Coturnix japonica: one gene and its partners. The protein of the gene in region 1 interacts with the protein of each later gene in a pairwise test. Links are inferred from orthologs where the notes say so. Each region holds a gene or a part of one and is shown in the gene's direction. Other genes may lie near its edges. The genes, in order: TRIM63, PKM, PDHB, MYOT, MYBPC3, USP13 and TNNI2.

Evidence for each region.
Region 2: the proteins of TRIM63 (region 1) and PKM interact in a two-hybrid assay, tested with the Homo sapiens proteins (3 studies listed by BioGRID and IntAct). The link is inferred for Coturnix japonica from reciprocal best matches to the Homo sapiens genes TRIM63 and PKM.
Region 3: the proteins of TRIM63 (region 1) and PDHB interact in a two-hybrid assay, tested with the Homo sapiens proteins (2 studies listed by BioGRID). The link is inferred for Coturnix japonica from reciprocal best matches to the Homo sapiens genes TRIM63 and PDHB.
Region 4: the proteins of TRIM63 (region 1) and MYOT interact in a two-hybrid assay, tested with the Homo sapiens proteins (2 studies listed by BioGRID). The link is inferred for Coturnix japonica from reciprocal best matches to the Homo sapiens genes TRIM63 and MYOT.
Region 5: the proteins of TRIM63 (region 1) and MYBPC3 interact in a two-hybrid assay, tested with the Homo sapiens proteins (2 studies listed by BioGRID and IntAct). The link is inferred for Coturnix japonica from reciprocal best matches to the Homo sapiens genes TRIM63 and MYBPC3.
Region 6: the proteins of TRIM63 (region 1) and USP13 interact in a two-hybrid assay, tested with the Homo sapiens proteins (2 studies listed by BioGRID and IntAct). The link is inferred for Coturnix japonica from reciprocal best matches to the Homo sapiens genes TRIM63 and USP13.
Region 7: the proteins of TRIM63 (region 1) and TNNI2 interact in a two-hybrid assay, tested with the Homo sapiens proteins (2 studies listed by BioGRID and IntAct). The link is inferred for Coturnix japonica from reciprocal best matches to the Homo sapiens genes TRIM63 and TNNI2.

What each region holds. Positions count from the first base shown.
Region 1 is NC_029538.1:2,860,550-2,864,658, forward strand, and holds the start of TRIM63 (E3 ubiquitin-protein ligase TRIM63), read left to right. Parts: upstream 1-1,309; 5' UTR 1,310-1,850; coding exon 1,851-2,084; intron 2,085-2,174; coding exon 2,175-2,344; intron 2,345-3,281; coding exon 3,282-3,450; intron 3,451-3,716; coding exon 3,717-3,812; intron 3,813-3,913; coding exon 3,914-4,109. UniProt on the Homo sapiens protein: E3 ubiquitin ligase. Mediates the ubiquitination and subsequent proteasomal degradation of CKM, GMEB1 and HIBADH.
Region 2 is NC_029525.1:982,278-986,494, reverse strand, and holds the start of PKM (pyruvate kinase PKM), read left to right. Parts: upstream 1-1,417; 5' UTR 1,418-1,503; intron 1,504-4,217. UniProt on the Homo sapiens protein: Catalyzes the final rate-limiting step of glycolysis by mediating the transfer of a phosphoryl group from phosphoenolpyruvate (PEP) to ADP, generating ATP.
Region 3 is NC_029527.1:9,335,764-9,339,777, reverse strand, and holds the start of PDHB (pyruvate dehydrogenase E1 component subunit beta, mitochondrial), read left to right. Parts: upstream 1-1,214; 5' UTR 1,215-1,278; coding exon 1,279-1,377; intron 1,378-1,498; coding exon 1,499-1,606; intron 1,607-1,679; coding exon 1,680-1,742; intron 1,743-1,819; coding exon 1,820-1,855; intron 1,856-1,941; coding exon 1,942-2,227; intron 2,228-2,813; coding exon 2,814-2,924; intron 2,925-3,522; coding exon 3,523-3,614; intron 3,615-4,014. UniProt on the Homo sapiens protein: The pyruvate dehydrogenase complex catalyzes the overall conversion of pyruvate to acetyl-CoA and CO(2), and thereby links the glycolytic pathway to the tricarboxylic cycle.
Region 4 is NC_029528.1:3,691,056-3,695,034, forward strand, and holds the start of MYOT (myotilin), read left to right. Parts: upstream 1-1,179; 5' UTR 1,180-1,342; intron 1,343-3,074; 5' UTR 3,075-3,240; coding exon 3,241-3,674; intron 3,675-3,979. UniProt on the Homo sapiens protein: Component of a complex of multiple actin cross-linking proteins. Involved in the control of myofibril assembly and stability at the Z lines in muscle cells.
Region 5 is NC_029520.1:20,541,497-20,544,996, forward strand, and holds part of MYBPC3 (myosin-binding protein C, cardiac-type), read left to right. Parts: intron 1-954; coding exon 955-1,114; intron 1,115-1,318; coding exon 1,319-1,423; intron 1,424-2,858; coding exon 2,859-3,047; intron 3,048-3,500. UniProt on the Homo sapiens protein: Thick filament-associated protein located in the crossbridge region of vertebrate striated muscle a bands. In vitro it binds MHC, F-actin and native thin filaments, and modifies the activity of actin-activated myosin ATPase.
Region 6 is NC_029524.1:15,317,064-15,320,563, reverse strand, and holds part of USP13 (ubiquitin carboxyl-terminal hydrolase 13), read left to right. Parts: intron 1-1,463; coding exon 1,464-1,558; intron 1,559-2,332; coding exon 2,333-2,520; intron 2,521-3,239; coding exon 3,240-3,311; intron 3,312-3,500. UniProt on the Homo sapiens protein: Deubiquitinase that mediates deubiquitination of target proteins such as BECN1, MITF, SKP2 and USP10 and is involved in various processes such as autophagy, endoplasmic reticulum-associated degradation (ERAD), cell cycle progression or DNA damage response.
Region 7 is NC_029520.1:10,459,538-10,463,837, forward strand, and holds the start of TNNI2 (troponin I, fast skeletal muscle), read left to right. Parts: upstream 1-1,500; 5' UTR 1,501-1,588; intron 1,589-2,815; exon of another isoform or gene 2,816-2,839; intron 2,840-3,180; 5' UTR 3,181-3,202; coding exon 3,203-3,210; exon of another isoform or gene 3,211-3,215; intron 3,216-3,377; coding exon 3,378-3,384; intron 3,385-3,982; coding exon 3,983-4,024; intron 4,025-4,300. UniProt on the Homo sapiens protein: Troponin I is the inhibitory subunit of troponin, the thin filament regulatory complex which confers calcium-sensitivity to striated muscle actomyosin ATPase activity.

The sequences.
Region 1 (4,109 bases):
GCCGCCGCCGCCCGGCCGCCATCATAGGGACCGACCCCCCGAAGGCCACGCCCACTGACGCACCGCATTCTGATTGGCTGCGTGTATGTAGGCATTGGTGCTTATCTATTTCTTCTTTATCTATTTCCTCTTTATCTCTTTTTTATTTATCTCTTTTTTCGTTGCTTGGGGTGGGACAGCAAGCGAGCCTAGCTCCTCTGCTTCACTTTATCTGCGTGTCAGCGGCGCAGCTTTGCAATGACAGCCCCTTACCTATCCCTCTATTCGCCTATTTATTTACCCATCTATTTCTTCACCCATTTATTCACCTGCCCCATCATTGGCAGCGTCTCTGGGCTCCCCCGCTGTCCTCAATGGCAGCAGGGAGCAGATGGAGGTTGTGTTTACAGCGCTCGGGTTGGTTGGTTGGCAGCCGTGCCTGCATTGCTCGGAGCCAACTGGGGGTTGAGGAGGAGCCATTGGGGGCTGGGAAACCGAATGGGGCGTTCCAGCTCATCCTCTTGTGGGAATCCCCTTCATAAAGTCCAGCAGTGATGAGTTCAGTGGGCAGGGCCAGCAATGGGACAGGTGTGCATCCGGTCCCCCCCCCATTCCCTCCCTTACGGTGTGTATCTCAATGTACAAACCTCCTTGGAAGGTCTCCCAGTGCCAAAAAGGGGACAATGTTGCAAGATGTGCTTGGCTGGCTTCTGTGCTGTCACTTGGTTGACATGTGAGAGCCTTCCTGGAAGGAGCGTCTGGAACAGTCACAGGCTGCCCATGTCTGGGGGGTTCATCTGGGACAATATTAGAGCCCCTATAGCGTGCACCCACTGTGCTGTGTCCCTATGCATAAGTGTACTCATACAGCTGTGCACCCACGTATCCATGTGGTCATGCACCCATCTATCTGTGCACCCCTGTACCCTTTGTGCACCCAAGTAACCTCATTTACCCCTGTACTTGCATACTCATGCATCAATGTGCACCCATGCACCTGTGCACTCCTACAGCCCTCTATACAGATACCCCTGCTCCCATGTACCCATGCACTTGTGCCTCTGTGTGCCCATGGCTTTGTGCACCCACCACCCACTTACCGCAGCATCTCAGCACCCATCCCTTTGGCCACTTGCAGCACCTCCTACCCATTGGGCTCTATGGGGAACAGAGAAGCCACCTCACCCAACCCCGTCCTGTGACCCACAGCAGAGGTGTTATAATTATCCTCTCCCCTGCAGCTGCCAATATTTACAGGTCTCCCTGTGCACCGGCGCTGGGATTTGGAAGAACACCGTGTTTACTGGTGTGCCAGCTGACAGCCAGGCAATGTGATCAGGGCGGCTCCCAGCTGGGAGCAGTCTGGAGGGGCCACACTCCTGTTTTCCTGTTGATGTTTCTGGGTCAGGTTTTGCAAACAAGTGCAGGGCACAGCCGGGCATGTGGGATGTGCAGCATGGTGCTGCTGTGCTTGGGAACCCCCTTGCAGGCTGCTATATGGATTTTTGGGGTGCAGAGAAGCATGAGGAAGAGAGGGTGCACGCACCAAGCACATTTGCTGTATCCCCCAGGTGCTGCAGTTCAGCTAAAAAGCCATCAGCTGCCCTGCAGGTGCCTTTCACCCCACAAGAAGTTGCATTTTGAGGGTGCAAAGGGCAATGCAAACCCCCAGCCCGGTGCTTTTTCATCCTGACTCCCCAGCAGCATCGACCCCCCCCCAGTCTCTCGGTGTTCCCCAGCAGGGCCATACGGACAGCATGTCCCCAGCATGTCCCCAGCTTGTTTACTGCGGCCGCGCGCCTCGATTGTCACCGCCATGTGACAGCTGATACCTTCGGACAGCCGAGCCGACTCCACGTGATTGCTGGGCTATGGATAAAAGCTGCACGAGGGGCTCCGGCTCCAGAACTGAGATTGCTCTGAGGAGGAGCAGCAGTGCCGTACCAATGGATTTCCAGCCCAGCATCCTACGTGATGGCAGCCCCATGGAGAGCCTGGAGAAGCAGCTACTGTGCCCCATCTGCCTGGAGATGTTCAGCAAGCCTGTGGTGATCCTGCCCTGCCAGCATAACCTCTGCCGCAAGTGTGCCAACGACATCTTCCAGGTGAGATGAGGACCCCCCTGGACGTTGCCCTGCTCTGGGATGCTCTGCAGGGGCACCTGGGGACACCCCGATGTCCTTGTCCCCCTCCAGGCTGCCAACCCATACTGGCAGAGCCGGGGCAGCAGCATCATCTCAGGGGGCCGGTTCCGCTGCCCTACGTGTCGCCATGAGGTCCTGCTGGACCGCCACGGTGTCTACGGGCTGCAGAGGAACCTGCTGGTGGAGAACATCATCGACATCTACAAGCAGGAGTTCTCCAGGTTGGTCCTATGGGGACACAGGGGCAGCCACATCATTTTTGGGGGGGCGAGGAACCAGGGAGGCTGGCTTGGTGCTCCCCTCCCCACCTTTCCCTAACCCAAATCTCCACCTCACAATTGAGATCTCCATTCTCAACTCGAATCTTCACCCCCAACACAAATCTCCATCTCCCAGCCCAAACCTCCCTCCCAGCCTGTGCTGTTCTAGTCTGCGGTTGCTCTGTGGGGACAGGGGGACCCTAAGGGGGTGGCAGAAGAACGAATCCAGCCCCCATCCTGGCACCCTGCAGCTTTGGCTTTATGTTGAAGATAAGGGGTGTGAGGGACAAATCCAGGCTCTGCTTGTGACAGCAGGGAATGATAAGGGACAGGGGGACAGCCTGAGGGGTCTGACAGCATTACTTAGTGGCAGAGGTGCAGCAGGAGGGGGACAAACAGGGGGGTGATGTTTTTTAAAGGACCCAGACATGTGAGTTCATCTCCCCATTCTCCTGCCCCACTGTAAATATTGTTCCAGCTCCATGGGAACAGGGATGGAAGGCACGTGGCAGGTGGCAGCAGCCCCCGGGGGGGAGCTGGCGAACCCCCCAGTGGTGACTCAATGGCTGTCACCCCCCTGAGCTCCCTGGAGCCCCTGCCCGGGTCACGCGTTGGATGATAATAATAAATGCCAGCAGCACTCAGCTAAAATTAGGAGCTTGTGTAGCATCCCTGGAGCGTGGCCCCAACTGCTGCCATGCCTGATGACACACTGCTACAAACTGGGCTTACTGGGCATGCAGGAGGATAAGGCCAGGATCCGGTTATGGGGCAGTAGTTCTGCATTGGGTGGGGAGGTCACTGCTGTGGGGACGTCACCATGATGGGGACATGACGTCAATATGGTGGGGATGTCATTGTGCTGGGGATGTCATTGTGGTTGGGCTGCTCTCTCCAGCAGGCCGCTCAAGAAGGGGGAGCACCCCATGTGCAAGGATCATGAGGATGAGAGGATCAACATCTACTGCGTCACCTGCGAGGTCCCCACCTGCTCCATGTGCAAGGTCTTCGGTGCTCACAAGGACTGCGAAGTCGCCCCTCTGCAGAGCATCTTCCAGGGCCAGAAGGTGCAACATGGGGGGACATGGGGCCACAGTGGGGAATGGCCAGATCTGGGCGATGTGCTGAGCTAGGGTGGCTGCAAATAGCATTGGGATGCCTCATGGGGTATTAATAGGCAGCAGGCTGACTTTGACCAGGAGACAGGCCTATATTTAGTGCGATGCCCCCCCCTCTCAGCCTGTGGGATGGGGGCTGGATCGTGATACCCTGGCAGCACCCATCTGTGCCCTGCAGGGGTTAAAGCTGCTTCTGTCCATCTGTCCCTTCCCAGAGCGAGCTGAACAACTGCATTTCCATGCTAGTAGCGGGGAACGACCGCATCCAGACCATCATTTCCCAGCTGGAAGATTCCTGCCGCAGCACTGAGGTGAGGGACATGGAAACATCCCCCCAGAAACCAAGTGCTGGGGGAGGCAGCCCCTGAGCAGAGGACACAGGGGCTGGAAGGACACATCTTTGTCCCCATAGGAGAACAGCGAGGCGGCCAAGCAAGAGCTCTGCTCACGTTTTGATGCGTTTATGGCTCTGCTGGAGGAGAAGAAGACGGAGCTACTGGGACGCATCACCCGTGAGCAGGAGGACAAGACAGGCTTTGTGCAGGGCCTCATCCACAAGTACAAGGAGCAGCTGGAGAAGTCCAGCCGGCTGGTGGAGACGGCCATCC
Region 2 (4,217 bases), on another chromosome or scaffold:
CCACATTCGGTCCCCATGGCCTCACATTGGGTGTCTGCACTTCTCTCTCATTGACCCCAGCACACGGTCCCTGTGGTCCCTCAGTTCCTCATGGTCTCTATGGCTCCACGTTGGTTCCCCATAGGTCCTTGTACCCTCCCATTAGATCCCTGTGGTCACCACTCAGTGCCCCCAGCATAGGAACCCTATGGTCCCTCACGGTCCCTATGGCCCCATGTTGAGTCCCCTTGGCCTCACACTGGATGCCCCATGGTCTCTGCTTAGTGTCCCCAAATGTCCTTAGCACAGTTTCCATGGTCCCCCTTGGTGCTCATGGCCTCATGCTGGGTGCCCACAGTTCCCCTGGCCTCACACTGGGTTCCTACAGGTTCCCCTGTTTCTTCATGGTTGCCCCCACTCTCTCTGGCCCCACACTTGGTCCCCATGGTCTCCACTTAGTGTCACCAGCACAGTGTCCCCATGGCTGTGGCACTGGGTGCCCACTTTGGGTGCTACATTACTGTCACAAGGACCCCAAGAGGACCTCAGAACAGAGCCCCTACTTGTGGTGCTGGCACACTGTCCCCTGCACAATGTCCTGATGATCCCAATGCAGAACATCCAGGTAGGGTCCTCCATGGTCCCAGCAGTGTCCCTATGGTCCCAGCACAGGGTCCCCCCATTGCTGGCACCATGTACCCATAGATCCAGCACAGTGTTCTCATGTCCCTGCCTTTCTCTCCCTTTTTTGGGATGACCTGGGGACACCCCACACCAATCAGAACCATGGGGACACCAACTCGATGGCTGCTGACAAGTTCGGGTGCCCAGGCCAGCTCTGTAACTCGAGATACCTATTTTTGTCCCCAAGTGTCTATTTCTGTCCCCAGACCTCAGAGCTGGCAGCAGGGGGATGGCACGTTTCCCCCTGCACCCCATCTTCTGTGGGTGTCACCGCGTTGGGGGGCTATGTGTGACGAAGCCACATGGGTGCAATGACCTTTTCTCACTGGGACACCTGTTTTGTCCCCTAGATTCGGGGAAAACCCCATTGACACATGGGGGACATCGCGGGGTGGCTCAGAGGCCAGCAGGAGCCACTTCACGGCGTCCCTCGGCGGTCCGGCATCCCTGCAGGTACCGTGGGCAAGGGGCTCGGGTGGGAGAGCCGAGGGGAGCGGAGCCATTAAGAGCAGCGCGGCCCCTTTAAGAGCAGCGCGGCCCCTTTAAGAGCAGCGCGGTCCCTTTAAGGCCGCAGCCACTCTTCCCCCGCGTGCTCTCCGGCTGCGCTTGCCGCCCTCTGATTGGCTGCGCGGTGCGTGAGAGTTAAAGCGCTTCCTCCGCAGCTTGCGCGTCCGCCGAAAAAAGGAGTCCCGGCCGTTCGCCCCGTTGCGCAGTGGGCGGAGGGATCCGCGGGGCGGTGCTTCGGCCGGGATCACCTTGGCTTTGCGGCGGGGCGGCGTGCAGAGCGGCGGAGGGGCTCGTAGAGGACGCGTCCGGGCACAGCCGCGGCAGCACCAGGAGGTAACGGCGGCCTCCGGCTCCCACAGGGAGGGCGTTGAAGGAGGGCGGGTAGCCGAGGCCGCCGTCATCGTCGCCGGACCCGGCGTTCAAGCGGGAGTGTTAAGCTCAGGGCAGGGCGATGAGACGCCGAGGGGGCGCTGAGGGGAAGGGCGGCTCCACGCGGCTGGGGTAGCGGCGGCGGAGGGATGGATGGATGGATGGATGTGTGTGTGTGTAGGTGTGTGTGTGTGTAGGTGTGTGTGTGTGTAGGTGTGTGTGTATGTAGGTGCGTGTGTGTAGGTGTGTGTGTATGTAGGTGCGTGTGTGCCCCCAGCGCTCCGCCCGCCCGCCCTGACTCAGCCGTCGGTGCCGCGGCCACGTGCCGTGTCCCCGCTCGGCTCTTGCCGAGGCTCCCCGCTCTCCCAGCCCCGTGCTCCCATCCGTCCCCCTGTAGCCGCCTGCCCGCTCCCTCCGCCCCGCTGCGGCCTTTGAGGCGCTCGGGGGCCGTGAATGGGGCTACGGCGCTTTCGTTGGCGGGGGGCGGCGTGCGGAGCCCGCTCGGTGCCGCTCCGTTAAGGCGCAGCGCTGCTCGGGGAGCGGGTGGGAGCGCGGGGCCGGGTTCGGGCATCGTCCTGCCCCAGGGACGGCACTGGAACGGGAGGGGATGGCGGGGGGGTGTTAGAACTGGGGAACCGCCCTCCGACGCCGGCCCGAAACCGCCGCCGTGAGCGCTCGGCCCGCTCCCGAGCCGCCGTCGGACGGTTGCGGGAGGCGGAGGAACGAACGGGCTCGGCCGAGCGCCGCCACCACGTGCTGCCGTGTGCGGGGGGAGGGGGCGGCGCCGCGCGGTGCGGGTCGGCACGTACGGCATGGGCGGCACTGGGGGGTGTGAGCTGCGCGGGGCATAAGGGGCATAAGCTCCACGCCATAAGTTCGTCGCCCGCGCTTCTTCCCTTCTGATTAAACAGGCTTCGCTTGAGCCTGCCCCGTGCCCTTGTCCTCTAGGAAGGGCAGCCGCAGCACAGCAGCGCGATGCCCAAAGCTCATCCTCCGCCTTGTGGCTCGGCGTCCCGTCCCGGCCGTCCCCACGAGGGCTGCCTTGGAGGCCATCTTGCAGTTGCATAAGGATGCGGCGAAACCTCCCGCAGTACGAGTCATCCCCCCCTCCCTGCCGGGGGGCCCGCCGTGTTGGCGGCGTGCTGGGAGCCCGGCTGCGTGGCCGTGGGGTGGGGATGGCGGTGGGGCTGAGCCTCCGTCGTGCCCCGGGCACGGCTGGGATGCCGCAGCCGGACGTTCCGTAAGTCACTGAGTCACCCCGCTGCTCGGCCCGCTGCCCTCCAACGGTCCGGCCCTTCTGGAATGTTCAGCGGCCGGGGAGGCATCGGCCATTTTGAGCGTGCCCTGCCTGGAATGGGGTGATACCTGGAGGGATTTAAGAGTTACGCCCCGAGAAAGGAAAGCTGCTTTGTGCAGGGAATCAGGCTTTGCGAGGTATTACTCCCCACCCCCTTCCCAGCTCAGCTCACTGTGCCTGCAGGTGTTTCTTAAAAGACAAAAAGTGGGAAATGCCAGACGTTCCTCTTGGGGTTATAAAACAGCCCCTTGGAGCATCCATCCTTGCAATTGGAATGCAGGAGGAAGCAGAGGAACGTGGGGCTCCCTGCAGCCCTGCAGATGGTGGCTGGGTTTTTATTCTGGTGCCGTGTTTCTTCTGTCCTCCCCATACAAGGTCACTGCGTGGCTGCAAAATCTCAGGGGATTCTGACTCCAAGCAATTTAACTCTCCTCCCTTCTTAGACTATTGCAAAGCCTTCGGGGCTTGAAAATCACACTTACAAATGACTTCAGTGGGTGGGGAGTTTCCACAAGGAGGAAGCCGCCTCCAAAGCAGGGCGGCTGTGCTCCTGTATGAGCTGCACTCAGTGCTCTGTTCTCCCCAGCCCTATTCCCTACAGCCACTATTCCCCGCAGTCACACAGGCTCTTTCTGCTGCTGTTTGCAGAGGCAGTTTCCTGGCAGAGGCCCTTTGTCCTGTCCAGCAGGTGCTCCAGGATGCACCAGCAGATGTTAGAAGGCTGAAACACAGTGTTCAGGTCTGAGCAGCGGGCATCCCTGTAATAAAACGCCTTTGTTGAGGCTTTTATGTGGGCAGGCTTTCTTGTACTGACTGAAGTGAATCAGCAGCTTCTGGCAGGGCTGAGGTAAAGGCCGCCTGCCAGGACAAATTATGGTTTCTGCTGGCCCATCTTTGCGCTCCATTTCATGCGTCGATGAGGTGATGGTGAGTCAGGGCTGCCTGCGAGAGGATCTGCACGTAGGAGGGGGGAGCGGCTGCTCAGGGACCTCCGTGCTCACACTGCTCCCTTCTGCTCAGCTTTAGAGGAGCTGCTGGTTTATTAATGCCCTGTGCAGATGGAGGTGCAGCGTGGGGAAAAAAATGGTGAGCTTTGTTCATGTGCCAGATGGGAGTGTGTCCCTGCATGGCGCAGTGTGCCGAGGGTGAGCAGCCCCCCACACCTTGGGGAGCAATGCACTGAAGCTGGTGGCAGCAGCATGCGAAAAGCTGAGCCTTGCACAGGCACAAAGTCCTGTCTCACCTGGCTGTAAATGCAGGAGAGGACAGGCAGGTTTTAGTTGCGTTGCTGATTGAGGACAGAATTCCCAGCCGGGTGTGCTCCCATTGCAGCACACATCAGTGTTTCACTTCAGCTTTCTCATGGGGTTGGGACCTTCCC
Region 3 (4,014 bases), on another chromosome or scaffold:
AATCCCACATCACCATTTGACCCTCCTCATGCAGGAGTCCAAGGACTGCAACTGCACCTGCCCTGCTCCTGCTGGCACCACACAGTCACTCTGCACAGTGTCAGTAGTTGGTTTTACCCACGTATCTTGTTCCATGGCACCAGCAGGCAGCTGTGTGCATGGGGAAACATCTCCCAGCAGTGCTGGATGAAGGCAGGTGTCAGGAGCACATCCTGCACAGCCAACAGTGCTGACACAGGGACCAAGCAGCAGGATGGTGACAAGAATCGTCCCTTCAAACCCAGGCCCACAGGAGGAGTCGGGAACAGCCGCTTTCCATCCCAGAGGAACGCACGGAAGGAAATCTCCCCCTGAGATCGCAATGATTCAGCAAAGGATGCTGGACACGACTGCACCGCTCCACCCGCTGCCCCCAAGTGCCCATCGCCTGGATACCGCTCCCGGCCCCAGCCCGGCCCTCCTGCAGCGAGGGGCAGCCCCTGTTCGAACTGAGGGCCGGGTACAGCCTCACAACATCCCAAACGGGGCCCGGCAGCCCCCAGCCCCAGGTACCCGCAGTCCCACAGGGGGCCCAGCCCCGTTTCCCCCCCCCCAGTGCAGCCTCCGGCCGCTCACAGCCCCGTGTTTCCCTCCCACCCCCCACAGCAGCACAGCACAGCACAGCACAGCATAGCACAGCACAGCACAGCACAGCACAGCACAGCACAGCACAGCATAGCATAGCATAGCATAGCACAGCCCGGCCCGGCCCGGCCCGGCCCCGCCCCTCCTCACACTCACAGTCGCAGGTCCCGGCGCTGAAGCAGAGCCCGGCGATGATGGGGGCGACTGAACCGGGAGCGAAGCAGCCGCCGAGGAGGGAGGAGCGGGGGCGGGTTCTGCCGCGATCCCCTCCCCGTGTCTCCGCCCGCTCCGCTCGGGTGAGGGAGGGAAGCCGCCTCCTTTCACCTCAGGGCCGACAGTGGGGACACCTCGCTCCGCCCCACGCCTCCTTGGCGGGCAGTTGTGTCACTGAAGAGGGGCACACAGATGAAGGGGGGCGGTGGGGGCGGTGCGGTCCCGGCGGCAGGAGGCGATGCCGCGTTGATCGCGCCCCGAGCGGCGCCATGCGAGCAGCACCGAGCGCGGCACGGCCTCACCGCCACCACAGCGCGAGACCGGAAGTGACGCATAAAAAGAGCGCTGGCTGCCAGCGCCAGTTCTCGCGAGAGTTCAGGCAGGGGCCGAGGTAGCGCGGGGGCCGGGCCGTTGCCCGGTGCTATAGAGGACACGGCCAAGATGGCGGCGGCGGCGGGAGCGCTGCGGCTGCTGGTGCCGCGAGGCCGCCTTCTCTCGCCACGCAGAGGCTTCCACCTCTCCGCGCCCGCCGCCATCCAGGTACGGGCCGTGAGGATGGAGCTGGGGCGGGGGGTTCATCCGTACGGGCGGGGTGGTGCGGGTGAGCCGAGGGACGGCCGCCCTGCCCTGCCCAGCACTGCCCGGCTGCCGCTTCCCGCAGGTGACGGTGCGGGACGCGCTGAACCAGGCGCTGGACGAGGAGCTGGAGCGGGATGAGCGTGTGTTCATGCTGGGCGAGGAGGTGGCACAGTACGACGGTGCCTACAAGGTGAGGGAGGGGGGGCCCTGCCGGGGCCGCAGTGCGGGCTGTGCGGGGGCTGACACCGCTCCGATCCTTTCAGATCTCCAGGGGGCTGTGGAAGAAATACGGGGACAAGAGGATCATCGACACCCCCATCTCCGAGGTACGGCGCGGGGCTCCCCCCACAGGGCTCCCCGTGGGCCGAGCTGTGGCGCTTAATGCTGTTTGCTCCTCTTCCAGATGGGCTTCGCAGGAATCGCCGTTGGTGCCGCAATGGTCAGTACGCCCTCAGTCCTAATGAACTGATGTACAAAACGAGCTGCTTTGGTGTTAAAACATATCGTATGGTCTAACTCTGATAGGCGGGGTTGAGGCCGGTGTGTGAATTCATGACGTTCAACTTCTCCATGCAAGCAATCGACCAGGTTATCAACTCTGCTGCCAAGACGTGCTACATGTCTGCAGGAACCATCGCCGTCCCCATCGTGTTCCGTGGCCCCAACGGGGCTTCAGCTGGCGTTGCCGCACAGCACTCGCAGTGCTTCGCTGCCTGGTACGGGCACTGCCCGGGGCTGAAGGTTGTCAGTCCTTGGAGCTCAGAAGATGCCAAGGGGCTGCTGAAGGCATCGATCCGGGACGATAATCCAGGTGAGCACAGTCAGATGACGGCAGTATTTAACTCTCATTTCTGAATGCTTCTTTTCCTCTCCCACCTCATGTAAAAAGATAAAAAGTTTATTCAGCACTTAAGCATTTTGTGCTGTTCTAACCTGCTTGCAGGTACTCATCTAGAAGCTTTGAAAGACACATTTATGAACTCATTGTAAAGGCATTATAAAGGATGAAGATGAGTCAGGAGAAGTACCTGCAGATACAGTACAGTGTAACTCATTTTTTAGAGTTGATGAAGCTTAGATGATAAATTCAGAATCTCATTAAGCAAAATCAGGGCAACCTTCATCTTTCTTTCTCACAAGCACACGTGCAAAATGTAAGGCTTTTTCTGAAGCTAGCAGTTCTACAGAAACATTTCTTAGCCACAGCCTTTGCAGTTTTCCCTTGATCTACCTTTAGAGATGAACTGAAGACAGTATTTAAACTAACTGCGTAGTGAAGTTGATTGACTTTTAATTGTTTGTATTGGTCTTGCAAATATTCTTCTGCGGTACCGTTAATGATAAGTACAGCCTGTTCCTGCAGAGGTATGAATTAATCCAAGTATGTTTTGTTCTAGTTGTGGTGCTGGAAAGTGAATTGCTGTACGGCGTTCCCTTTGAGATGTCAGAACAGGCACAGTCAAAGGACTTTGTTATTCCAATTGGAAAGGCCAAAATAGAAAGGGAAGGTAAGCTGAGAACACAGTGTATGTACCTGTATGTATCCTTACTAACCAAGCTGCCTGGGGACTCTTAGCTGTTCAAAATACTGCTATCATGGGGCACAGGAACACATTTAAATTGTTAAATACTCAAATATGATTTATCCTGTATTGTACTCAATTGTTTGTTCTCAGTTTCTCACTTAAAACTGTACCTCCCTAGAAGGTTTCTTTCTCAGCCTAAGGATGGTGTTGGTGATGTGCAGGGAAGTTCTCACCTTACTATGTCATTTTTGTCCAAAATGCAGAAGATATCATTGTAATTTTTCAGCCTGTTTATAATTTACCAATGAATAGCATGAAAGCGTAAAAAAAAAAATAATCCGAAAAGTATTGAAAACATTATTTAGATCCCTGAATCAAAAGATTATCCTCACATAGTCCTGCTGCCATTCTTCACAGGTATAGAAATACTTAACATTTCATGTAGATGTAAGGAACTTAAATTTGCATGAGAATACTGATGCTACCTACAAAAGAGCCCAAGAAAAATGCTTTTTTGTGTGTGTGGTGGGTTTTTTTTTTTCTGCATTTGTTTCTTCTTTAAAACTTGTTTCTGTTCCAGGAACTCATGTTACATTAGTGGCGCACTCTAGGCCTGTTGGGCACTGTTTGGAAGCAGCTTCTATCCTGGCCAAAGAAGGTGTTGAGTGTGAGGTGTGTGGGGTTTCTGTTGCTTTTCTCTGTACAAGGAAAAAGGCAGAGGGTCACCTTGTTCAGGCTCTGTAGAACATCACTTTATAAACTCCAAGCTTTTGTAAGTGCCTTAACTGCCAGAGTATGTGCATTTCTTGTTTCTGCGTTTGACCTTTTCATCACAAAATCAAGTCAGAACTACCAGAGACTTTCAGATTGATCTGCCTGTACAATGAGCAGAACAATGACAGTATGTAGCAGCATGATTATATACAGTGAGACTCATTAAGCATTTTCCATGCTTGATGAGCCACCAAAAGCCATTCTGAAGCATCTGTCAGGATAAGAAGTAATTTCATTAAGTCTTCTTGTCAAAGTCAGAATAGATTGAAGTGCTAAAGGACACAGTGCCCAAACAGCA
Region 4 (3,979 bases), on another chromosome or scaffold:
TCCATGTTTCTTTCCTACCTTCTGGATCTCACACACTTCTGTTCCTTCTCCCTCACACAAGTCATGCCAGCTGTGTGCAGCCATTTAAGCACAAAGCTGTCCTCAAACAGAAGCCTTGCAGCCCACTTTAGTTTGCACCCTCACTGAAGCCCATGGGAAGGCAGAAAGCCCATCTGCACACAGAACTGGCCTTCAGCTGCTCCCAGCTTCCTGCTGAACAAGCCTTCCTGCCACACTTATCCTCTTCTGTTTAATTTTTAAAGCAATCAACTCTCTCTGTACAAACCACAGTTCTGTTTTGACTAAAACAGCAACAACCAAGGCCACACTCCTTCCTTCTCTGCCTTTCACCAGAAGGAAATGAAAGAAATTATCACTCAATCAACACCTGCTTGTAGATATTGTCCACAAATGGTGAGCTGATGCTTAAATACAAACCCTCACGCAGGTTAACTCAGAGATGGCTGTGCTGGAGGACTCACCCTTGCAAGGCTTGGAGGTTTTTTAAACAATAGTATGCATGTTAGGCCACGATTGCTAAACTATAACTAAGATACTTAAATGCTATAATGCTAATTTAAGATGCAATTAAGCAGTGCAGCCTTTGATTAAAGGCACACAAATCACCTAATCTGCCAGCAGAATCTGGTGAAAGCAGCCTGGCTGGCTCTCCTGATCCAAGTTTATATGCATAATAATAGCCCCAAACAGCAATATATCATCAAATAATTCTTCACCAACAAGCCTGTTTAATTGGCGTTATTCAGCATAGGAGTGATTCTTCAGACACACGTGGTTATTCCACCCCCAGCAGTGTTACTGTGTGCTGTGGTGTGAGCAGCAGTGCCAAGCACAGGGCACTGCCAGCTGTGAGCAGTGCTGCATTGTGCTGCTCACCGCTTCCTTCCTAGCCCTGACAGCTGGTGTACACAACCCTGAAAGCAGCACTGAGTTTTAATCACTACGATTAGTTGCTGCTAGTTGTGGTAAATGAGCAAAGAAGGGATTTCACTGAACTACTAAGCAGGACTTAGGGAGGGCTCCATGGGCAGGTCTCACTGCTGCCCACAGCGTGATTTGCTGACTTCAGGCACCTGCCAAAAAATGAGGTTCTGGCCCATAAATAAAGTGCCCTCAGCTAGGGCTGGGCTGGAGACTCTTATTCTGACACTGGTGTAAGCAGGAGGACAGGCAGGTCCAGCAGTGTCATTTGCTGGCACCACATTAAAGTCTCTGGTCTTATAATGCTACGCAGAGGACTACTATGATAGTCTGTGTCAGTGAATGACGGTCCCTTCCCAAAATACGGCTTAAAGCCCAGGTGACAACTTCTAGGCTGTAGGTAAGGCTTTTTTTTTTTTTTTTCCAGCCCTTTTTATTGCAAATCTGGTTATTGAGTTGGCATGGGAAGTTACAATGTGCTGGGTAATGCTGAGATAGAAATAGAAATGTACCTTTAAGGTACCGTAGTGTCAAATGTAATATGGAAGGCAAAGAAGGGGGAAAAAAAAAAAAAACACTGATAAAGCAAAGTGGCTCTTACTGCTTCTTGTTGTCATCTTGTAAAGTCCAAATCTGTTTGGATTTTTCTGCTTCCACCCAGAGCCAGGTGGAATGATTGGAGGGAAACATAACTTACCCCTCGCTGTGAGGAGCAGATCTGTGCGTGGCAGGGCAGCAGCTCAGTGTCTTATTGAACTGCAGTGTGCTAGGAAAGAAAGGTCTGTACAGAGCCTGTACATAAAAAGAATGAATCTGTACACTGATGTCAAAGCAGTATAAAAACAAGATTCGACCAGTTTTCTGCACCAGTGAATGAGAAGATAGTTTGGATACGCTCCAAAAAATCTGATCTGGCTTCAAATTCCAAGAAGGCAACCAGGGGGAAATGAGGGAATCGTTACTATGAAACCTGTTTAGTTACTGTTAATTTACTACTAATGTTTTAATTACCTTTAGGAAATGAAAGCTTTGAAACCTCATAAGACAAGAGCAATGTCTTCAGTTGATTCCCTCCCCTAGGAATTTCTCACCTCTTTGGGCTCTCCAATGAGAGGAATACAATATACTGTGTATATATAGCAGCTAAACAGCTGATCTCAGTGGGGCAAGATTACAATTTTTTCCAGCACATGTAACTGTGTGGATTTACATTCTCATTTTTTATTAGTAGCTTTTCATTTATTTGGAGGGGGAGGAATTGGTATTAATTTATCTTGGAGCTGAAGTTAGTTGTCATTCCTCACAAACTTACTCAGTTGACTCAAATGAAACATTCCTGTGCTGTGAATTGATAGGATACCAACATTTAGATATCGTTGGCTTCCAAAATAAATGGAGGACCCCCGAGCAGCTTGGTGTGCCCTACTTCATCCTGCAGCTACGCCATCCCAGCAGTTAATGGCCACAACAGCAAATCTCAGGGAATGGCTTCCAACAGAGAAGTGTGGTCCTCAGTATTCCAAGTCCCAGATCTTTATTTGTTACATAAAGCTCCGAACTAAGAAGCTCTCAGAGATGAAATCAGGATTCTTGCTTTCCAAAGTTAACTTTTAGGTAGAAAAGCAAGTGGAACTTGTTTCATGCTTCCCTACAGCGTAAGGAATTTCTCAGCAAAAGTAACCAATTCTGCATATAATTGTACATACAGTATTTTGTCAGGGTGTGAAGCTGCAGGATCCAGAGACCTGTAGTTAAGATGATATGCTGTATATCACTCTGCTTTGCAATCGTATCTCCAGCTGTCTGCGTTCAACTGGTGATGGGTTATCGCAGTAAACTTATTGTCATTCCTTGTAGAATTGAGAGGGCTCTTGCAGATAAGATAGCTGTGGTGAGCTCCACAGCTGGGTCTGATGGAGTGTGTGACTCGTTACCTGAAATGTTTGTATAGTTTATAAATATATTCTATATATTCTAATCAATCCTAAATCTTCTTATTATAAGCTTAAGCTTAAACTGTCAACTGCCTGAAAATCGTATTCTTTGGACTGCAAATGACTGCTCAAAGCACAGTATTTCTGCCATTGAAATTGTGATGTACCATTTCTTTTATCTGTATTGTCTTCCTTAAGGGAAAATCCACTCCAAGAAAGCCTCTATCCTGCAAGGCCAGGGTTCCACTCTATTCAGGAGCCCAGCCAAGAAAGCTTTTGTGGCCTGCCACCTAGTTTTTACCAGCCACCCACCCAAAGCCAGTTGTCACCAACCAAAACCCAGGACAGTCGTGAAAGTTCTCCTATGAGTGTCCATAACCTCCCATCCGTTTCCTCTATGTGCCAACCAACCATGTTTAACTACGAACGTCCAAAACATTTTATCCAGTCTAAGAATGTGTGTCAAGGGCAACAGCAGCCTCCAGGATCCTCAACATCTACAGAGTCAAGCAGGCAGATCAAACAGTCCTCCATTCTAATCCAGCCTCGTAACCCTAGCGGGCAGAAATTCTCCTCCTCGTCATCGCTGAGCTCTTCAATCACGCTCTCCTCGCCTTCCTGTAGTGCCCCTAAGGAATCCACATATCCCGTCACACCTGCATCTGCGCAGTCTCCTGCTAGCTCATCATCTGGGCAACGGCTTATATCCATGCCTAACCAAACCCCCGCAGCATTCCTATGCTCAGTGCTACCCTCGCAGCCTGATTATAACAGCCAAACTCCTCCTATGGAACCTCAGTAAGTATACACAGGCTTCTAACCTCCCCTTGCTTTTGTCTGGCCTGGCCTCTCCCATGTACTGACTGATCCAGATCTGTGGTGAAGCCAATGGGACAACTCCCACTGACTTCTGATGTGCAAGGCAGGGCTTTGCATGAGCAGAATGAGCCAAGTTAGGAGGCTGAGAGCTTGCCCTCAGCGTCTGTGGGAGTAACTGAGGGTTAAACTGCATGGCAGTCAAGTCATGGGCTGCCCTGTGGGTTTGTTGGGCTTACTTTGAACAGTTTATTTTGATTTGGGGGAAAATGTTTCATTAATGGTAT
Region 5 (3,500 bases), on another chromosome or scaffold:
GATGCTGATCAAGAAAATCTCTAATTACCATCACACAGTGGCTTAATTACAAGGAATCAATTAAGTTGTTTAAAATTCTTTTCAATCTATTTGTGAATGTTTATCCCCTCTTTTTTTCCCCACTACACTGTAAGCTTCAACAATATCCTGAGGGTAAAATAAGAGGAGAAAATATTACAGATTCAGGAAAATAGGCTGTGTATGTACATACAGTGAAAAGATGAATTTTCCAAAAGGTTTCCTCATATATATATAAAATATAAATAAATAAAAATATAAATATTTTATATGTTTAAGATTCTTCTGTGCTATTCACTGGATAGGCACATACACTTTGTAAAGTTTCTTGTTTACTGTCTACAGATGTGGGCGTGTGAAGCATGGAGAGTGTAATAAATGCACAGCAAAGTTCTTGTTACATTTAGACCTCATCTCTCTGAGGAGAGCATAAAGTCATCCCATATGGCATTCCCGAGTGACAAAAAAAATAAAATCACACTGACACCATGACAGTAGCAAAAAATATGGCAACGTTTTTAGAAGCAAATTGTTCAAACCCACGTTATCTGATGTAGATACTGTTGAACCAGAATGTTTGCTCATATGCTTGAAAGAATTTGCAAATCACCTTCAATTTACACTCTACCCACCTATTATCCATGAAACTTTACATTGCTGTTATCCCAATCAGGAATTCATAGTACTTTGTAACTTCTTTGAAATGCAATCATGTGTGCATAACTAGCAATGAATCCTAACAACCTGGAAAGCTTTTAGGTTCAATCTTACCTACAGTTAAATAGTTTGAGACACTTCACCTCCATTTTTTCTATATACAAAAAGAATTTGATATTATTTATATCTTTTGAATTTTCACTGACTTACATACAGGCTCATTAGGCTGTCCCGGGCACAAGTCACACTGATTTTCCCTTTTACTTTCACTGCCCACAGGTTCTATTTGAATCTGAAGGCAGAGTTCGTGTGGAGAAACATGAAGACCACTGTGTCTTCATCATTGAAGGAGCTGAAAAGGAGGATGAAGGAGTATACAGAGTTATAGTTAAGAATCCAGTGGGAGAAGATAAGGCTGATATCACAGTCAAAGTTATTGGTAAGTGAAAGAAAGCAATAATCACTTTCAAAGCACCACAGTGATGAAAAATATATATGTCACTAATACTATTTGGAAATTCCTCAGGATGACTGATTTCTTCAGATTTAGACTTATAATACGGGGGAAAAAATGTTAAAATATCGAATTGATTTGTAAAACAGAAACAGTAACAACCCCCATGCATTCTGATATTTCCTTCAGATGTCCCTGACCCTCCAGAAGCTCCCAAGATCAGTAACATTGGAGAAGATTACTGCACTGTGCAGTGGCAACCTCCTACATATGATGGTGGACAACCAGTACTTGGTAAGAAGCACTGAAATATAAAGTCCCCAGCAGTCTCACCTATATATTATTTTCTCTGCTCCTTTAAAACGATGCAGAAGGATTTAATACATTCATTCACACTAAGAAGGCTGAACCTCATACACTCGGTAATAAAGCAACCCTACAGACCATTTTGGAATCTGGCCCTTTAGTATCAGGGTGATGGTGCCCCCTACCTGTGCTGTTTGAATCAGAGAAATATTTTGACAAGTTAGCCAAGCATCATTTCAATTGTCTTGCAATTTCATATTAAAAGGAAAGGTTACTGATTCAGGATGTCTGTGCCTATAATGCCTATTGTTCTCCATTTCCATTCAGGCCCTGTAAGAACCATACTTCTCAGGTATACCAAAGCAGCACCTGCAAGTTTGATAGCCATAAACGTTGTGAACACCATGGTCTGGGGCTCAAACCACAAATCTTCACAATTTGATATATCCCTATAATGACTGTAACTGTGGCCAGCTACGATAGTATCTGCAGAAATAGGTAGAAATCCACATAAAATACATATTTGTACACAGGATGTATAAATCGCTACTCAGCATATTTCCTAATTATTCACTCCATACCTGTAAGATCACTAGCTTTCTAAACAAAATCTTTTTAAAAGGAGTCTACATGCATCACAACCAAGCACCACCTGTAAACAGACTAGAGAAGAAATTAAATGTAACTAGGTATAAAGAAACAGCTGACACTGATCTGTTGGAGCGAGTCCAGAGAAGGGCTGGAGCACCTCTATTATGGGGACAGGCTGAGAGGAAGCTGTGCATGGCCAGGATTCACTCCACTGTAGGGCTGAAGCCGAGATACGACTCAATTTCAGACACTCTGAAATTCTGCCACTTTGCTTTTTAAAGAGATATGAAATAAGTTAAGGGAAATATTACATATTCTTCCTATTAACATTTTGCATTGCAATTGAAGCTGTTGATACAAGATTGCTGAAGAATGAAATAAATTAGTTTTTAACTCGTTTTATATATTTCAAGGCAATCTCTCCTTCAAGAAAAGGGTTTTCTGTTCAACTCCTGAGTCTCACGTATTTCTCCAACAGCAGGATAGAATGACCACACCTTTCACCAGCAATGATTTACTATTTCATACACATCTAAATAACCCTGGAAACATTGACTAAATTAGTGTATAGCATGTGAAATATACTTAAGCCTAATAACTGACAGACAATTCTAAGTGAGTTGTGTTGTGGAAAGCATAACCATTCAAATAAGAATGTCAGACTGAAGGATAGTAATAAAAAAGGAAAATTAAGGAAAATACCAGAGCTTCACACAATTAAGTTATATGCAGTAATGTTTGTCTCTTTATGTCATAGAAAAATGTTTTTTTTCTCCTGCATGTAAGACAATCGTTTGTAGTTCTCTTATATCATAAAATATATCCCTTCCAGGCTATATTTTAGAGAGAAAGAAGAAGAAGAGCTACCGATGGATGAGGCTGAATTTTGACCTTTTAAAAGAGCTAACCTACGAAGCCAAGCGAATGATTGAAGGAGTAGTTTATGAGATGCGGATTTATGCTGTGAATTCTATTGGCATGTCCCGGCCAAGCCCTGCCTCACAACCCTTCATGCCAATTGGTGAGTTCTATCACACTCTGATAATTCCTGGAAAAAAGAGGACAGAACAATTTTCACCTCTTCTCTTCAACCATCCTTACACTAAAAAAGAATGTGTTAGGAAAAAGCTATTCTATACTTAATCAGCTTTTTTCCTTTATCATCTTCCTCTTCTCCATCTCTCATTTCCCTTCCTGCAAAGCACAGAGGTTCCAGTTTCATGAAACTGCTGATGAACATTTAGTTGTTATAATTAGAAGTGTGAGAGTCAAACTGGATCTGGAAAGGAGGAGAGCTAATTGACAGAAATTTGCCCAACCCTCTCAACTTCCCCCACTGCCTTATGGGTGCAAATATCACAGTATCCCATCCAGTCCTCCCTTAATCCTGGCCCCTTCTGCAGCCAAAAGGATAGCTGATTAAGAAAATATTTAGGGAACGATTTTCTATAAATAATCCACCCCTTCGCAGCAA
Region 6 (3,500 bases), on another chromosome or scaffold:
GTTATATGTGGATGAGCTGTCAAGTCCTCTGAGCATGCCTGCTACTACACAGTGGAATTCCAGTAGATGAGCAGCTACAGCTCCATGCATGCCAGAGGGGTCATCAGAACCAATGTTAATAGAGGGTCTGATGGCTGCTGACGGCAGATAGCAGCGTGACTCAAAAACACCATTCCTTGGTTTGAGAGTTAATGTTTTTCATAGGACTGATAAACCCATAGGTTGCATTTAGATCTTAGAATAGTGGCTGACACTCAAGCTATCATTTCAGCATGGTTTTCCCACTGGCAGTCTTCAAGGAAGCAGGAATCTTGTTAAAATTTTATGCAGGTGATGGGTTGAGGCCAGGGGAGAGCAGAAGGACTCTTTAGAAGTGGTATCTGTGCTGTGAACAGACTTTGTCTGGATTCTTGCTCCGTCCTCCCAAATTTTTCTTATTTCTTCTGGTTCAGGGTTCAGATTTCTCTCTTAACCTGGATCTGATCACATGGGGCAAGATCACTGGAAAACTCTGTAGGATGTGAAGGAAACTTGTCTGAGAGGAGTACTGGCAGAGACTTTCTGGGCTTTGATATGAGTAGAGACTGGAGCAGAGGAGTATATACTATGGGGGAAAAGAGCAGAGAAGAGAAAAGACAAGACCTGTCCAAGACTTTGTAGTGGGTCTTACAACTCATATCCTTACGTCATGCCTGTAGATTTACTGTTATTTGCTTAAGTAGGTGAAGACTGCTTCATTAAAGTCTTGTTTGGTAAGCATTAAAATGAGATTTTATCTCCTTTTTGTCCCTTTGTTGGATTTATTAAACTTTGCTTCGTAACAAAAGTATCATTAGGCGTACTGCTTCCCTCTTCAGTTTGAACTTTGCCCTTCCAAATCTTTAGGGACCGTGAGGAGCTGTTTTAGCGCTAGAATTTAGTTCTCATACAGTAAAGCAAGACATCCCAATAATGACATCAAACTTTGTCCCTCATGATAAGATTAATCTTCCAAGTCCCATCCAAGTTACATGCTCATAGTTTTGGTGTGTTTGCCATTGTCTTCTAGCTCCACAAAAAAATTCAGAAATTATTGCTCTGTTCACAACATGGATTAGATATGTACCTTCAAATCCTGTCAACTGTGTTCTTCCTTTTCTCCTACATATTTCTTTACTTTTTGGGGGAGAGCAGTGGGGGGTTGTTGTGTAGTACTGTAATTGCTCCAAATTTTCATATGTTTTAATGCTATCAAGGTGTGTAATTTACTCAAAGGAGAATAGTTGAGTTGATCGTGTAGAAAACATTTAAGATGTTTACCGAGCAGTGTGGGTCTAGCTATTATATGTGTCTCAACCAGACCTGGAGAATATGAATAAGGTATTTTGTGTAGGCACTTCTGTACTGAGAATGTAATGTTGGTCAACAAAGAGAAGGGGTAATGTTTGATACAACATGTTATCTGTTTCTCTTTGCTTTTGTAGATGTCTATTCCTTTGATGAAGAGGAGCCGGTTTTAGATCCACATATAGCAAAGCATCTGGCACACTTTGGGATTGATATGCTGCAGATGCAAGTGGTAGGAAATCAAGCTTCTTTTTAGTTTCTTGTTTACTTTTCTAGTTGGGGGTAGAGAGAAACAGGAGAAGAGCAATGTCTGTAGCTTATATTGAACAAATATATGAATAAAAAGTTTCTCTTATCCAGTGGTCCTTCTGAAAAACCTGTTTTTACTTAAAAATCTGCAGAACTTATGTATAGTTTCAGCTATTGTGGAGGATTCCCCTACTGTATTCAGACCAGTCTGTAAGATTATCTGTGAAGTGGAGGAGTAGCGCTAGCTGTAAATGACGGTGTAATGATTAGTGCCTACAAATTGAAAGCTGAGCTGGGTATTGGGACTTCAACATCTCAGACTTTGGCTTTTTCCTTTTGCATGAAGAATAGAGTTCTTGAAGCTGCATTTTTGCATCTGATTTGTTTGCTGGGACTATGTTCTACAGTAGCAGCTCTGCCCAACCAATATAAATGGGAAAATAAAGCTTGAAAACGTGTGTTGTATTTATTCTTAGTCTTGAGGACACAGCCCATACAGAAGTGGAGATTGAAGGCGCGGTGAGAATAATACAAAGAGCCAGTGGTCTGTAGTAAACAGCTGAGAGATGAATTGGATGAGCAGGCTGCTACACTTCTGACCCTGACCTCCTCCTCTGCATGTGGGATTCACCTCTCTTTTCTCATTGATCTGTCTCTTCTTTTCTAGAAGAGTTCACAAAGTTGGTGATGATAACAGCAACAAGTATAATAGTTGCAGAAATTAAGAGGCAAAGAAAATAACCCTTTTTCTCTTCAGACAGAGAACGGTCTAAGAGATAATGATATAAAACCAAGAGTCTCTGAATGGGAAGTGATTCAGGAAGCTGGCGTGAAACTCAAGCCCATGTATGGCCCAGGATATACCGGCATGAAGAACCTGGGGAATAGCTGCTACCTCAATGCTGTCATGCAGGCCATTTTCAGCATCCCAGAGTTCCAGCGAGCGTAAGTAGCTCCAAGCTAGCACTTACTACTAGTTGCCTGGTTCCCCTATGTCTTGTTTTTCTATGCAGAGCAGTATTTTAGAGTCTTTAACAAAACATGGTCCTGGCAGAATTTAGGTGTTTGTGTTCTTTCAGTGTGGTTCTACCCAGGTAGCCTATTATTTCACCCTTGTTTGAGTGAAGTAGTACTCAGATATTATGTTACTAAGTGCTTTGGTTTTCAACAAACCGGCTACATCAATACATACTTCAGCATTTGTTGTTAGGAATTAGCCTTTGTTTCTGTGAGGAAACTCAATACAAGCATTATTTTATGTGTTTTGTTCCTGATTAAAAGTCAACAAACAAAAAACTCTAGGAATTTATTTGGCACTGTTGGTCTGGAGTAGGAAGTGCATTGTTTCACTGTGGTTTTGAGCAATGCCATCTAGCAGCTGTTTCAGGATCAAGGAATAGAATGTAAATTCTGGATAAACAGCAAAGTGGTATCTTTTCTATTTAGCTAGAAACTTCTAGCCATAACTTAAATATCCTCTTCCTAATTTCTTTACTACTCTTTTTCAGCAGTAGAAGTATTCACCAGGGCTAGATGAAGTTATTTGCATGCTACAAAATCTGATTTGCTGGCACAGAAGGGGCTTCTGGCTGTGTTACTGCTGAGGACTGTGTATCTATCTACATGTGGTATTTGAATGTTTGTGCTTTGTTCTTGCTGCCCAGGTATGTGGGAAACCTTCCGAGAATATTTGACTACTCCCCAATTGATCCAACACAAGATTTCAACACTCAGATGTAAGTGACGCTTTTCAGTGACTTACTTTGTCAATTTAAATAGAGTGAATAATTTAATGGCAAGGAAGAAAAGTATGTTCGTGTGGGCTTGAAAGTGAAACATGGCACAGGGTAGAATGTGAAGACTTGCCAGATTAATTATATATAATGTTTCATTATGGGCTTGAAGATGGCGTATTTATTTTTCCT
Region 7 (4,300 bases), on another chromosome or scaffold:
TTTCCCTCTTCTCACTGGGTTTCTTCCTCATTCTGGATCTGGGGCCTCTTTCTTTTTTTTTTGGAGGACTGCTGCCCTGTGGTTTAACCTCTTTGCAAGGCAGCTCCAGGGAAATTTCTTTGCAGACAGAGAGATTCAGCCTTTTGCTCACCCTATTACCACATCTCACCCTCTAGGACTCCTGTATCTTACAAACAAATCTGTTAACCAACAATTGATTCGTGGGACTTTTCTTTGTGTTCCTTCAACCCACTCTCTGCACTGACCTGAAGCAATGAAGTGAAAGAAAAGCTGCTATCTAGAGGACTTGGTGGGACAGTGGTGCATGTAGTTCTGTAGAGAGCTGGAGAAAATGACTGGAGAATCTTTGGAAAGGGTAATAAAGAGCTGAGTTGAACTTTAGAGTCAAATATGGCCCATGTGGTACTGGAGGAAAAGTGAAGTGGCTGAACTTCTCAGTGGGTGAATGCTGCTCCTGGCTGCGGAGGGTGGCTGCTGTCTGTTTCTGGATGTACTTACTTTAGTCTCTATTCTTTATTTTTCTGGGAAACTGGCTTGAGCTGGGAGAGGCGGGCAACTTAGGAGGATCTGCAGGGTGATGTCTCTCGTCTACAGGCCATGAAGTGGCACCAAGAGTCCTGATGTAGCATGGTTGTGGTGATTTCACTACTCAAACCATCTTGCTCTCAACATTTCAGCATGGATAATCCTGAGCAGACCCAGCCTTACCCACACAAGACACCAGTCCCATCTCAAGCTCTTAGTCTTCCTTTACAGTATCTGCAGTGCTGTGTGCATGATGCTATAGGAAGTCTGCAGCGGCTTGTTTGCTGTTATCTGTGACTTCCAAGAGAAAAATTTGTTGCAGCTACATCTGAATCAGCTTAAAACCCTTTGGATAGCAGGGGAGGGAGTGCCTGGGCTGTGGGAGGAAGACAAGAGCTGTTTGGGCTCTTGTCTCCATGGGATCCCCTACATACACATGCTACATCTGCTGTGGATAGGGCTGGTGAATATTTCCAGTGTCATTTCCATCTGCCTCTTGCTTGTGCTGTGGGTATGTGGTTCTGGGGTGCACTGCAGCAGCTTTGGGGTTGCCTCACATACCCAGCAGCGGCTCCATAGCTTTGAGTAGTTTTGCTTTTTTTTCTTAATAAAAATTTAACATCTGGTGTTAAAATATTTCACATGGGGACGACCAGCAAATATTTTCCTGTGTGTTAACTGAGGTTAAAAGAAGATGCTAGCTCTGAATGACTTGCTCAGGAATGGCTCTCCTACGTGCTGCCAGTGGCTGAATGTTGGTGGGATGATGCATATGCTGCAGGCTCCTTCCAGCCAGTGTTCCCCAAGGGCAGAGCTGCTCCTCTCCTGTGGAGCTGCCTGGCCTGCCCCAGCCAAGGGAGGTGCATGGGGGCTCTTGCACACCATTGGTCTGAGAAGGTCTCCATGCCCTTAAAGAGAAGGTGGATTTTCTGCTGAGCCACCCGAGAAGCCCTTTTATACCTCCTTCCCCGGCCAGCTGCTTGCGGCTTGCCAGTCAGTCCTGGCCAGCCAGCGGGGCTCTCTGTTCCTTCTCCGGACTCGGGTGAGCCCTTATGCATGTCTCTTACTGACCAGCTTGTTCTTACCGGGGTGGCAGGGAGGCACGTTTGCTCACCTGAATGTTGGGGAGGTAAATGCTGGGTGATGTAATCTGCTTGGAGCAATGCGGGTGCTGATAAATCCACCTCTGTCCTGTGCTGGTCAGAGGGTCTGTGCATCGGGAGCTCTGTCTCTCCCAGCTGCCTTCTTTCCCTTTAGTTTCATCCTCACTTGGTTTTGCGCTCTGCCTTAGTCTCCCTAACTCCTCCCTAGTAGGAAAAAGCATCCCCTGCTGTGGCAACTTGCAGTTCTCCCCATCTGCACCCCTCCCTCTGCCTGCTGCGTGTAGCCGCTTCCTCCCCAAATTGCCCCTCAGCACCTGAGTTTCCATAACTCAAGGGCTGGAGTCCCTGTTACTGACTATACCCTGCTATGGGGTTTTTCTGGCATTGCTTCCCCACGCCCTTTGCGCTTTCAATGGATATGGGAATGCCAGCAAAAATAGCTCCTGCTCCTCATCCACCTGTGGTGGCTTTTGCCTCGCGTCGCCCCAACCTCCCTGAGTCACGGGGCCTGGCTGCGTCTGAGGAGACAGCTGCAGCTCCTTGTGCAGCTCCCCAGCCATTTTTAGAAGCACTTTCCCCCCCCACCCCCTTGCTCTTCCCAGCAATGTGTTGTGCCTGCACATTTTCCAGGATAAGGTTTCCTCAGGGAGCTTGGCCCTGCAGCCTTTACCTCCTCCTCAGGAAACAACCCTGTTAACATTTTGCCTCCTAGGTCTGCAGATTGCTGTCTATTAGGGGGTTCACTTCTCTGTAAGGGAATGGCTTCATTTGGGCTTGGCCTGTGCTCCTGCTGTACCCACTGATGGGTATGAGCAGGAAACACTGCTCTAATAAGTAAAGCTGCATTTACAGGGAAGAACTGGCACTGAAAGGTACCTTTCCCTGAGAAATCTCTCCATGCCTTTGCCAACTCAGCAATAGCTTTCAGCACCATGCTTCATTATCTGTGCTGAGCTTTCTCCCCTGCCCCATGCAATGTACACACATTCTGGCAATCCTTGTCACCTATGGTCACTGCCTGGCTCTGTTCCTTATGCCAGAAGCCTCCCCAGTCTTTGAGATTATTCTTGTCCGTGACTCTGTCAGTGCAGTTTTCCCCCTTTGGAAGGCAACAAGACTGAAGCCTAGAGTATTTGTGTTGAGTTTGCTACAGGCCTATACTATGAGGACTGTGTGAAAGCACTACAGAGGTGAAGTAGCTTTTTTCTTCCTTCTTACTACATCATGTAAAGTGGTATATCGTCCAGTCAAGGAAAAGACAAGCCTATAGGCAGTACTGTCACAATCTCTCTTTTTCCAGCCATGCACCTCTTGTCCTGGTGCACATGTGGCTGTGAGCTGGCACATGTTTGCCTTTCATCCACAGAATGCAGCCCAGTTTCCTCTGTGATGGAAATTTGAAGAAGTTGGGAAATATGAGCAAAGCCGTTGTTCCTCTTTTTGGTGTCTAGGGGAATCATGCTTTGTTCTTAAACCCAAGAAAGCCAGTGCTACCATGAATAATTGAGAATTATTTTGGTTCTTGTTGCAGGTTCGTAACCATCTAAAGCAAGATGTCTGAGTAAGTTCCTATTTTCTGTTTCCAGTATGTTGCTGGTGTTCAAACTTTTGTTCAGCTGCCAGCTTTTACATACATACTCTTCTGCTTGTTTCCAATGAGGATGCTAACTGCTTTTTTCTCCTCTTTCTCTTCCTTCCCTTCCTTGCCCATCCGCTCTCCCTGCACAGTGAAGAGGTAAGTGTGTCCTGCTGGGCTTTTCCCTTTAGCAGAGCTCATAGCATCGATCCTCGCTTTGTAGGAAAAGCAGTTATGGCGTGGTGGGAAGAAGGAATGTCCCATGGTCTAGCTTTCCTGATGCCTTCTCGAGAAGAAGGGAAGGACGAGCAAAATTTGAAGGGTCTGCTGGCAGTTGGATGCTTTCCCCCTTTCCTGCTTCCCTAGCCGGCCACGAGGTGGTGCTGAGAAGCGCTGCCCGAACAACTCCAGGACCACATCTCAATTGCCAGCAGCGGGGATGCAAAAAATCCCACCTATGGTGCTGATGCTCAATGGGTGCATTGAGTGCCCTCTAGCCCGGTGACGCAGGGAAGGCTAGGAAAGCAACCTGAGACAAAGCAGCACTTTTCAGAAGGAGAACAAGCCATGGGCTTGGAGTCCTCGAGGAATCTGAACAAGATTCCTCTGGTTAATGGTGCATGATATGTCTAAGCTAGACAAAGATGAAGCTGGTTTGGGGACCAAATGTGTGACAAGCTGTGGGATTGTGTGGTGAAGAGGAAAAGATGAAGGAATCCATCATAACTTACCTTGTTCTCATTTTTCCCACCTGCAGAAAAAGAGGAGGGCAGCCACCGCCCGGCGGCAGCACCTGAAGGTACGTGGCACTGCTGGGGCTGGGCGAGGTGTGTCCTGATCATCCCATCTCCCACCCAGCAGTTGACACTCTCCTGCCTGGGAAAGGCCATGATGCACAATGTGGAGTTCCCTATACCCTTCTCTGCACCTTACCAGGTCACGCAGTAAGACTCTGGTGCGGGGGTAGGCTGGGGTCAGCATCATCCTGAGCTTCCCATAAGTCCCCATGAGTCCCCTTTGCTCAGAGCTGCTGGTATTTTGGACATGGAGAGCTCCCATCTTCTCCTTTGCCCCG